Caenorhabditis elegans: one gene and its partner. The protein of the gene in region 1 interacts with the protein of each later gene in a pairwise test. Each region holds a gene or a part of one and is shown in the gene's direction. Other genes may lie near its edges. The genes, in order: gipc-2 and nas-6.

What was found.
Region 2: the proteins of gipc-2 (region 1) and nas-6 interact in a two-hybrid assay, tested with the Caenorhabditis elegans proteins (one large-scale study listed by BioGRID).

What each region holds. Positions count from the first base shown.
Region 1 is NC_003282.8:10,025,679-10,029,324, reverse strand, and holds gipc-2 (PDZ domain-containing protein), read left to right. Parts: upstream 1-1,658; 5' UTR 1,659-1,710; coding exon 1,711-1,745; intron 1,746-1,799; coding exon 1,800-2,097; intron 2,098-2,141; coding exon 2,142-2,882; 3' UTR 2,883-2,912; downstream 2,913-3,646. Other genes in the region: msd-2 (MSP domain-containing protein), read right to left, coding at 1-242.
Region 2 is NC_003282.8:17,486,256-17,492,801, reverse strand, and holds nas-6 (Zinc metalloproteinase nas-6), read left to right. Parts: upstream 1-2,022; 5' UTR 2,023-2,304; coding exon 2,305-2,446; intron 2,447-3,230; exon of another isoform or gene 3,231-3,251; intron 3,252-3,634; coding exon 3,635-3,687; intron 3,688-3,731; coding exon 3,732-3,819; exon of another isoform or gene 3,820-3,823; intron 3,824-4,276; coding exon 4,277-4,394; intron 4,395-4,442; coding exon 4,443-4,573; intron 4,574-4,637; coding exon 4,638-4,723; intron 4,724-5,250; coding exon 5,251-5,406; intron 5,407-5,457; coding exon 5,458-5,578; intron 5,579-5,680; coding exon 5,681-5,820; 3' UTR 5,821-5,960; downstream 5,961-6,546. UniProt on the Caenorhabditis elegans protein: Metalloprotease.

The sequences.
Region 1 (3,646 bases):
GCAGCGGCAAAGTGAACAACAAGCTTGTCTTCTTTTGGTGCTCCAGCAGTACGAGTGATTGTGATGTCCTTTGAACCAGATGGATCAACGAATCCGAATACCGGAGTGATGCGGTATTCGTTGTTGTTTGAAGACTTGATCTTGAAGATCATCTTCTCAGCTCCAGCATTAACAAGTTTGTGGGTGGAAGCACCTCCAGCAGCTGGAACAGTGCACGCTGGTGGATCGGCCGTCAGAGACATCTTTTTGAAACTTTATGTTAAAGTTGTATAAACTGAACATATTACCCTTATTTATAGCAGTCGTTATCAAGATGAACCAGTGACCTTTCGTGAACTTTTGATTTTAAATATTTTTGTAAATTTAAAAAGGTTTGTTAATATCAACTGTCTGCTCCCTTTTGAAAATATAGTTTTTTAAAAGTTATTTACGCTCTCGAGAAGACGTGGAAGAGGTTAAGGAAAAAATAAAAATATAGAAAAAAAAATATTTTTGTAAATTTAAAAAAGTTTTTTTTTCCGATGTATGTAAGGATAAAAATAAATAAGTCATTAAATATATTTTTCTATAACATGAAAAATTCACCGCTAACTGGCGTCAACTAACAATGACGTGTTTAGTTGGAATGTCAATTTCAAAGGTTCGGAATTACTTGAGTTGTGGACTAATAGACACTAAAGAATAACTTTGAGATACGCGATTTTTGCCAAAAACAGAATGTCCACCTTCGGCACGACTAATTTTGAATTTTCGAATAACTTATTTTCATATATTTCGCCTAACAAAACATTTTTGTATGTAACAGAAATGTGTCGTGTGGAGACCAGATGTATTTATGGAGCAAAACTTTGCACATGATTGTAAATAATAAATCAGTGATTTAAAAAATCAATTTTAAATCAAAATGCGGAGAAATGGGCGGTAGGCAGCCAGGTAGGCACGTGGGCCTCAAGAACATTTTGTTTTTTCTTCTCAACATATTTTTTTGTCAGATAATTTAAAATTTATTTATTACAGTTACGATTGTTTATTGTACATGCATGAAACTCCTAACAATGCTTCTAATGTTTTGCGAGTTTTGAACGATGGCTTCTCACTTATTGGAACGTATGTTTTCAGTTCATTACTCAAATGAAGTAAAGGATCATATAGCTAACTAGAAGTTCTAAATTTTACATCCTTCACTTTGTTCGGCTCCTCCGATGAGTACATCACCCTCTTTGAGCTTATGAACAGCAGGAGTCTAATATTTTCGCCACAGACTTCTGAGATTTACGATTATACACGTCCCCGGGTCCCGACACGAGTGAAACGTTTCATCAAGCCTATACTTTGCCAAAAAAAAAATTTTTTTTAATAAGAAGTATCAAAATCACGGTAAGTATCAAGAAAATCATGCAAAGTCAAAGATCAAAGAACCCTGGATTTTGAGGCAAAAATCTATACATTTTTTCCGAATTACAATTTTACTTGTTACACGTGTTTGAGTTTAAAAACAGGTAAAAAAAGAAAGCATATACATGAATAAATAGAAACGAAAAAATATTCTAAAGTTATATTTTTTAATGAACTTGCTCAGCGTGGAACCCCACTTTGGTTGGCATCCAAGCTCCGCCCACATCAATGTCTATAAATAATCAATTTTCTGGTAAATCCTTCATTCATCGATTTACTCGACTTACAACAACTAATTACAACTAACTCTTCGCAATGCAAGGACAAGGAGCCCCATGCCGCCGTTCTAGGTATGCATTTCATGAGCCCGAGTCTCAGATCTCAGGTTACCATGAATATTTCAGAAGCCGATCAAGATCTCGTGGAGCCTTCAATCGTCGCTCCAACTATGGAGAAGCTCATCCAATTCAGCCTGCCGTTTTAGCTTCAATTGTCGAAGAACCATCATCTTCAATCATGCCAGTGGTGAACCCATTGATGGTTGCAGCAAAAGAGCTCAAATTTCCCTGCCAGTTGGCTCATGGATCTCCAGTTGCAATCATTGACAAATGGAACGATATGGAGGAATTGTACCAATCAATTGCTGATTTCTTTGCAATCTCAAAAGACGATATCATTTTCCTGACGGTTAATGATTTCAAGGCAAGCTTTGATACTTTAATTCCTCTAATTCGAAATATTTTCAGCCAGACATGAAGAACATGTTCAGTGGAACACTCAACTTCAAGGATATGCTCTTTGCACACGTTCGCGGACAAGCAACTGAGCTCCGAATGGTCAAAGACGCCAACGTCTTTGGAGTGACAGTCACTGACAACGGACTCGGAAATGCATTTATCAAGGTCATAAGCCCAGGTTCGGTGTTCGATCGTATGCGTCCAGCAACACAAGTTGGTCAACTCATTGAGGCGATTAATGGAGAGTCTGTGCTCGGTAAAAGACATTACCAAGTTGCTCGTATGTTGAAAAGTATTCGTCGCGGCGAGGAATGTATCATTCGATTGATTGCTCCAAAGAGTGCGGATCCAGGAACTATGAAGATGACTAGGAAAACTGGCGGAGATTTAGCAAAAGGAACCATTCGTTTCAAATCGGAAGGTGGATTTGCTGTTGAAGATATTCAAGATCAGATGATCCAGGCTGAGATGTGCGGGAAACTCAACGAACTGTTCGACCAATATTTGGGAGTTCAAGATGATCAATTGGCCATGAGAATATGGGAAACTGCCTCAAACTGCGAGACACTTTGGCAACTCAGTGAAGCCATCAAACAGTCGGAGCTCTCAATGTTCGAGTTCCCGGATGGATTGGTATTCGACATGTGGGGAATTATTGGTGATTTGAAACGCGAACAACGTGAGAAAAAGCCAATGCCAGTCATGAAGAATGCTATTTCAAGACCATCGGCTATGAAACTCTTTGACTAACTTGTATTGTCAAATAAATTATTTTTCTTGTCCTAGCTGAATTTAATTGTTTCTAAATCAATTTACTATATATAAAGCGCGTGTCGTTCCGTCACTATGTAGTTTGATCTCTGATCATTTTGGGAAACCTTATGCTAAATACGCAGCAGACATCGATCGAGGTCCGCGATAGACACCGTACATCTAATGTGCTTTCTCAAAAAAGTCGAGGGCCGCGCCGTAGGTGCTAGATTTCAACTTGCAATTGTATTCTCTCCAACAAGAATCGGCATTCTAGAGGTTTCCAATGATTTTATTTTGATGAAACGCTACAGTACTCCTTTTATACAATTGACCAGCCGCTGACCGCGCCTCCGGCGCGGCCAACGACTGGCGAAATTTGAAATGTTTGACACATCCCTGAATTCATTAGGTTTTTCTATAAAAAAAAGTAAGCAGAATTTGTTTCCCTGCTGCATGTGTTTAAGTTTTTTCGAATATGCTGAAAGATTAAATTTTGAAAACCATCACACCACAACCTTAAACAAAGTACAGTAACCCTACAGTACTACTACAGTACTACTACAGTACCTTGACATTATCCATCACCAACTCCCAACGCAATATCCCTTCAAAAGCTGAAAAATCAAAATTCCCTAAACTACAGTAACCCTATAGTAACCCTACAGTAACCCTACAGTACCCCTACAGTACTACTACAGTACCTTGACATTATTCATCACCAACTCCCAACCCAATATCCCTTCAAAAGCTGAAAAATCAAA
Region 2 (6,546 bases), 7.5 Mb from region 1:
GGTGAAGCCAGAGAGTAAAATATACGGTGAAGCCAGAGAGTAAAATATACGGTGAAGCCAGAGAGTTAAAAATACGGTGAAGCCAGAGAGTAAAAAATACGGCGAAGCCAGAGAGTAAAATAAACTGTGAAGCCAGAGAGTAAAAAATACGGTGAAGCCAGAGAGTAAAATATATGGTGAAGCCAGAGAGTAAAAAATACGGTGAAGCCAGAGAGTAAAATATATGGTGAAGCCAGATAGTAAAATAAACTGTGAAGCCAGAGAGTAAAAAATACGGTGAAGCCAGAGAGTAAAATAAACTGTGAAGCCAGAGAGTAAAATATATGGTGAAGCCAGAGAGTAAAATATACGGTGAAGCCAGAGAGTAAAATATATGGTGAAGCCAGAGAGTAAAATAAACTCTCTGGCTCCACAGTTTATTTTACTCACTGGCTTCACGTTTTTTTAGAAGAAACAGTTCTGTTGGTGATGTTTGAAAACTAGGTATGTTAGTTTCTTTGTTCGATGGTCTTTTTATAAAGTCCAGTGAATTATATTTGCGAATGAATAAGGTTCAGATATTGCAATTTCATTTTTTCCGTTAAGAAACCATGTTCCTATTTACCATTTCTTGTTTTTCTTTCAATAGCTTTTTTCTTAAAATGTGATATGAGTGTATGAGAAAATAAAGTTGTTGAATATTAAAACACAGGAGACTATCACAAGAATATTCCAATAAAGTATATGCAAAATATTTAAGAAACAGCCATGAAATCATTTATTCAATCGAGTTTTCGTAGGAAATTTATCGAATGAAATATAATCAAAATATTGTTGTCCACTACGCGGGCCTAGTGGACTAGAAATAACATCAGTCAAAATGAAGTAGAGTTGGCAAAAAATTGCAGAAGTTTGCAGAAGTTACAACATTTTGTCTTTATATCGGTCCAAAAAGTAGAAAGTATAGTTGCACGGGAAATTTTTATTGAAAAAAAAATTGGAAAACTCATGGCTTTTAGAATTTAATATATACACGATTTTATGAAAATAATTCAACATATCATTTTGCATACATTTGACACATCCCCAAGTTGAGCACAACTTGGAGCTGAGCTTGTGAGCTCCGTCAAAAAACAGAGTTTTCAAATTTTCGAAGTTTTGGCAACTGGCTTGGGTTATGGGACTCAATTTGGATCCTATTTTTCCAAGAATAGTATACCGTATTTTTAATATTAGTATAGATGCAATACTGTTTTTGAAGGCCATCGCGGTTGCATTACAAGGAAGTGCAATAATAATTTTCAGACGCTTTTTTGCAAAACGACTAGTTTTCGTTTACAAGAGTAACAAATTTTAGTCATTTTTTATCAAAATTGTCATTGATTTTAACAAAAAATTTCAAAAAATTTCAACATTTTTGAATTTCGTGTGTACTTATTGCAAAATACGCAAAACAGCAAAGTTGAAGTAACGAAATTAGTGTTTTTGTATCAGAAAAAAAGTAAATGCAATATTATTAGGGAGCGCAACACTAATAGTGAGTGCAAGTCTAACAGGAAGGCTATACTAATAGATAAATTACGGTGTTCATAGAATAGAATTCATAGAATTCATAGAATTCATAGAATCTTTATAGAATATGTGTTGATCTTTCTGATAAACATGACATGTCTCTTCAACCTAAAATTAATCCGATATGTTAACCACAGACTGTTTCAATTGCAAATAATTTTTATTTCTATTTCGAAACTCAAATATTGATGCGCGTTCCATGTTCTCTTGCGCTGTGATCATTAGAATCGGCGCCCACAAAAAGAACATGGCGGAGGTGGCGATCGAGAAACGATTTGCTCTTTTTCTCGGCCTCCTTCTTTCTGAAGAGAGATCGTGTGAGAAATGTTATGTTCATTCATTCACATACATACACACTCTCAGAGTTCTTCTCTCTATCTACGCCGATCCTGTCATATTCGTTTTGTGTGTGTGTGTGTGTGTGCCTAGAAGTCTCTTCTCGGACGCGGAGGAAAAACGGAAACAAAAAGAGCTGGTGCTCCGCGCGCAAGGCGGACAGTACCCTCGCTTGCCCCTTAGTGTATACACATTTGACACGTGTCGTTTGATTCTCTGTGCTCTGTAGGTGCTCCAACACTGACTCACTAACATCTCTGTGAGCATCCGGTCATTCCGGTTGCCCTTCCCTGCTCTCTACTTCGTCTCTTCTTTTCCTCTTTCACCAGGAATTGAAGGCTCTTGAAAGAACATCGCAAGCTCTCACTTGCCTGTCTCTGTCTTTAACACGTCCCAGACGACATTACCCCCACAATTATGCTTGACCACGTTTTGCTTTTAACCTACTGCTTAGTTTCAACTGTTGTCAGATCTCAACCATCGGCAGATGTGTTTCGAAGCTTTGCCGGATACATTCCTGAAGATCACAGGGTGACACATCATGAATGGCAAAATTCAGGTACATTTAACAATAATTTGCTATTGATGTTGCATAAATTATTCAAAACCATTCTCGGGTGGTTTCTTTATTATTGCATTGAGTTGAATCTTGTTTGCAGCTCCCACGTGTGATTAAGTTCTATTGAACGATCGTAAAGAAAATAGTGTAGGCTTTCATTGTATTTTTGGAGACAATTTTAATAATTGTAACACGGCGTCTTCCAGCCTTTATACTGGAGCGAGCTTGCTTAATCTTGCGTTTTTTATAACTTATTTCCGCATTTTACGACATCCGATGCTGTTAAAAATGTGAATCGCATATACAATATATAAATTAAACATTTTTGATTTGTGTATGGTTTATATTGGAAAAGGAACTTCATAACTTCTCACCCGCTTTTGTCTGACTTTTCTCCCCGGACTTTTCTCCACATAATGAGATATTTTACGATCCCGGAATTAGGAAAAAAGACGGTTTTGATACAGTTTTTGTAAACACTGTGGTTATCCTGTTTTGCGAAAACTTCAGATTTCGTCCTAAATCCTTAGTTTACACATTTTCATTTTTTATAATATTTTTCAATGAAATAATATCAGGACGTCTAAAAATGAGAAAAATGAGCAAAACCAAAAATATGAAGTTTTCTTTTAAAAAAATTCAAAATCAAAAGATTTGTCATTAAAACAAAATTGAATATAATTTGGTAACTTTTTACCTAGAAACTTTTTGTGAACATTTTCGAATTTTCGATTGGTTAAGTTTCAGTTTCATGGCAAATTTAGGAAATTTTGATATCAGACGTTTTTTTGAAACGGTGATTCTGGATCTCAAAACAATTCAACTCTAAAAAAACATAGATTTCTTATGCTTTTAAAATATAGGGGGTACAAGAATTGATTGTTCTTGGTTTTTAAAATCAAAATTTGTTGACAAACAAAACATTCTTTCTCATTTCTTTTGTTAATCATTATTTTATGAATAATGCATCAAACCAATGGTTAAACTCTCAAAGCGAACTTCAAGGAGTAATTTATTTTTTCTGAATTCTGAAGTTATTAACAACAAATGATTTAAACGTCACGCGCAATACTTGGCATTCAAAGCATAAGTTTTACAAAACCTCCAAAGGTATGATATATGTAGTAAGGTATAAATTAATAAATTATAAAAAAATCATGCTGTTTAATTAATGCTAAATAATTTCAGGGAAGTTTCAAGGGGATATTGATGGAGTCGATCCTAACCTTCTCAAGCTCCCAGTAAGTACATGGAATGAGAGCTCAGTGATATAATTATCTTGCAGGAAGGTCCAGTGCTTTTCAATGCATTAAAAAACAAGCAGTTAACGTGGGAGGGCGGTGTGATCCCATACGAAATGGATACGGCATTCTGTGAGTGAGTAGTTGTCTAAAAAAGCAGCTTTTTAGTAGGAAACATCCACAGGGCATGTGAAGGCAGCGTGCTCCATTCCAGAAAAACCTTTTGAAAATGCGGAGATACGTGGTGATGGCAGTTTGATCACCTCTAACAAAAATTACACTAAACATTCATAGTTTTGTCAGAACATCAAAATCACGTGTTTCCTTGGTTTTCAGAGGTCACATAAAATAGTTACACACCAAACACTCGTGACGAGTGGCACAAGCGACGCGGTCAGAGAAAGATCGGTGGTTGAGTTTTCGCTGTTCAAATTAATTATTCAATAGGAAACTTTAAAATCTAAAACAATCAGTAAAATCATGTAAAGACTAACTTCGTCAAGTTCCTGGAGACACTAGATTTTTTGGTCTGTGGGCGCGCAGCAGTACCTGCAATATAAGCGAAATTTTGAACCCCATGTTTTTCCAGCACCGAATGAAATAAAAATTTTGGAAAAAGCGTTTGACAGTTACCGACGAACAACATGCATTAGATTTGAAAAACGAGAAGGTCAAACAGACTACTTAAACATTGTAAAAGGATATGGGTAAGAATATATATCTTATACAACCCTTACTGAATTTTAATTTTTCAGGTGCTACTCTCAAGTTGGACGAACTGGAGGAAAACAGGAAATTTCTTTGGGACGTGGCTGCTTTTTTCATGAAATAATTGTACACGAACTGATGCATTCCGTCGGATTTTGGCACGAACACTCGAGAGCTGGTCAGTTCGTGTAAAAAAACTTTGTTTACTTAAGATCTTAAACTGAATAATACTTACTTTTTAGATCGCGATGATCACATTAAGATCAACTGGGATAATATTCTGCCTGGAATGAAGTCTCAATTCGATAAAATTTCGGCAGTGTTACAAGTGAGCATTATAAATCACAAAAAATCATCGGAACTCGTGTAACTCAAAAATTTTTGACGGCATTTGCCGCATACCCCTGGTTTGAAATACAAAAATTTATTCGATTTATCCGTATTTTTCATAAAATAAAAACGGAGTGTGATATAAATGTATTCCAGTCAAGAATAACAATAGACTTAAATTCAAAATTTTGAACTGTTGTTTCTATGAAAAACTTCGCATCCGCAATTTCTATGGGCCATCAAGTGTTTTGAATTTTAAAAAGCGAACGGTAGGCAAATAATTTCAGAATTCCAAGTCAGCTCAATCAACTTGTTTTAAAACTGTTTTCAATTGATTTAAACACTTGTAATTTAATGTAAATATGGGCACAATAAACATTGCTACCAACCGGGCTTGGTTTCACTGTATTGCAGTAGTTTCAGTAAATGTATAGACTTTCAGAAAAATATAAATACTCTCGAAAAAGAATAAAATGAACAATCGAAGAAGCTGCGTTTGTGGGAAAGTTAAATAGTAATTTCTAGGATCTTCAAGGAGAAAACTACGATTACAAATCAATAATGCACTATGACAGCACTGCGTTTTCAAGAAACGGACGAAACACAATAGAAACTGTAGAAAATGGATTCACACAGGTTATTGGGACCGCTATGGACTTGTCACCTCTGGATATTGTGAAAGTAAATAATTTTGGATATTTTTCAAAATAAATTTTAACATAAAAAGTTTAGATCAACAAACTGTATTCGTGTAAAACTAAGAAGAAAGAGAAAGTAAAGCCTGCAACTACCGAGGAACCTCATCAACTGATTCCGCAAGTTGTGGATAAAAATTCGGTCGATTCTGGAGAAAGTTAGTGTTTTGTTTCATTTCTGTGATCGCATTGAAAAATGTTTACAGAAAGTTTTCAAACTGTAACATTAAAAAAAAACTCCCAACAAACTTTATTTTCAGAATGTGTCGATCATTTTGCGGATTGCCCGCACTTTGCACAATACTGTACCCGTGCTTCATTTTTCTTTGTTATGAAATCGTACTGTCCATTTACGTGTAAACATTGTCCTGGTGATCGAAAACTCAAAAAATCGGGATGATCTTCTATCTGGTGTTATTTATTTTGTTGCTTATTGTTCCATGACGTGTGTATAATGTAATTCTGAAAGCCAATTTTTTCATTTTTTGAAAATATTTATATAATTTATACTTACAATTAAATAAATTACGTTTTTGCCAAGTCATTAATATTGCAAGTTTACACATAAAATATAAAATCGAAAAATAAAATTATTCGTTGGAAAACTAACTATTTTTCAAAGTTAGCATCAAACATGATGTGATATCGGAATGATATAAGTAACGACCTGAGAGATAAAAAATCCAAAGTTACGAAATCTTGAACAATTAGAATTTAGAATCGGACGGGTTTCAAACTGTATTCTCTTATTTTTTGTAATAATATAATTGTACAATTTGAAAGTTTGAAAACATCATCACAATATTGTGATGATGTTTTCAAACTATGCAATGGGTCGCGGGTCGACTCGCGACCCATGAAGTGGGTTCCGGGTCGACCCTTTTCGACCCAACGACACCTCTATTTCCAACATTATTTATTTGTCTTAATAATTTGAAAAACGGAGAAAAACAAACATCACGTTTATATTTTCATGATTATCAAATTCCCAAGATAGTTATAAAAGACGACGAAAAAATTAAAACGAAATTTATGCTCAATTGCGTCTTACCCATCAAGCTCACACAAATTTGAAATTATGAATTCCGGTACTAAATTTTGTTTGATGATATCTTTTTCTTCAATT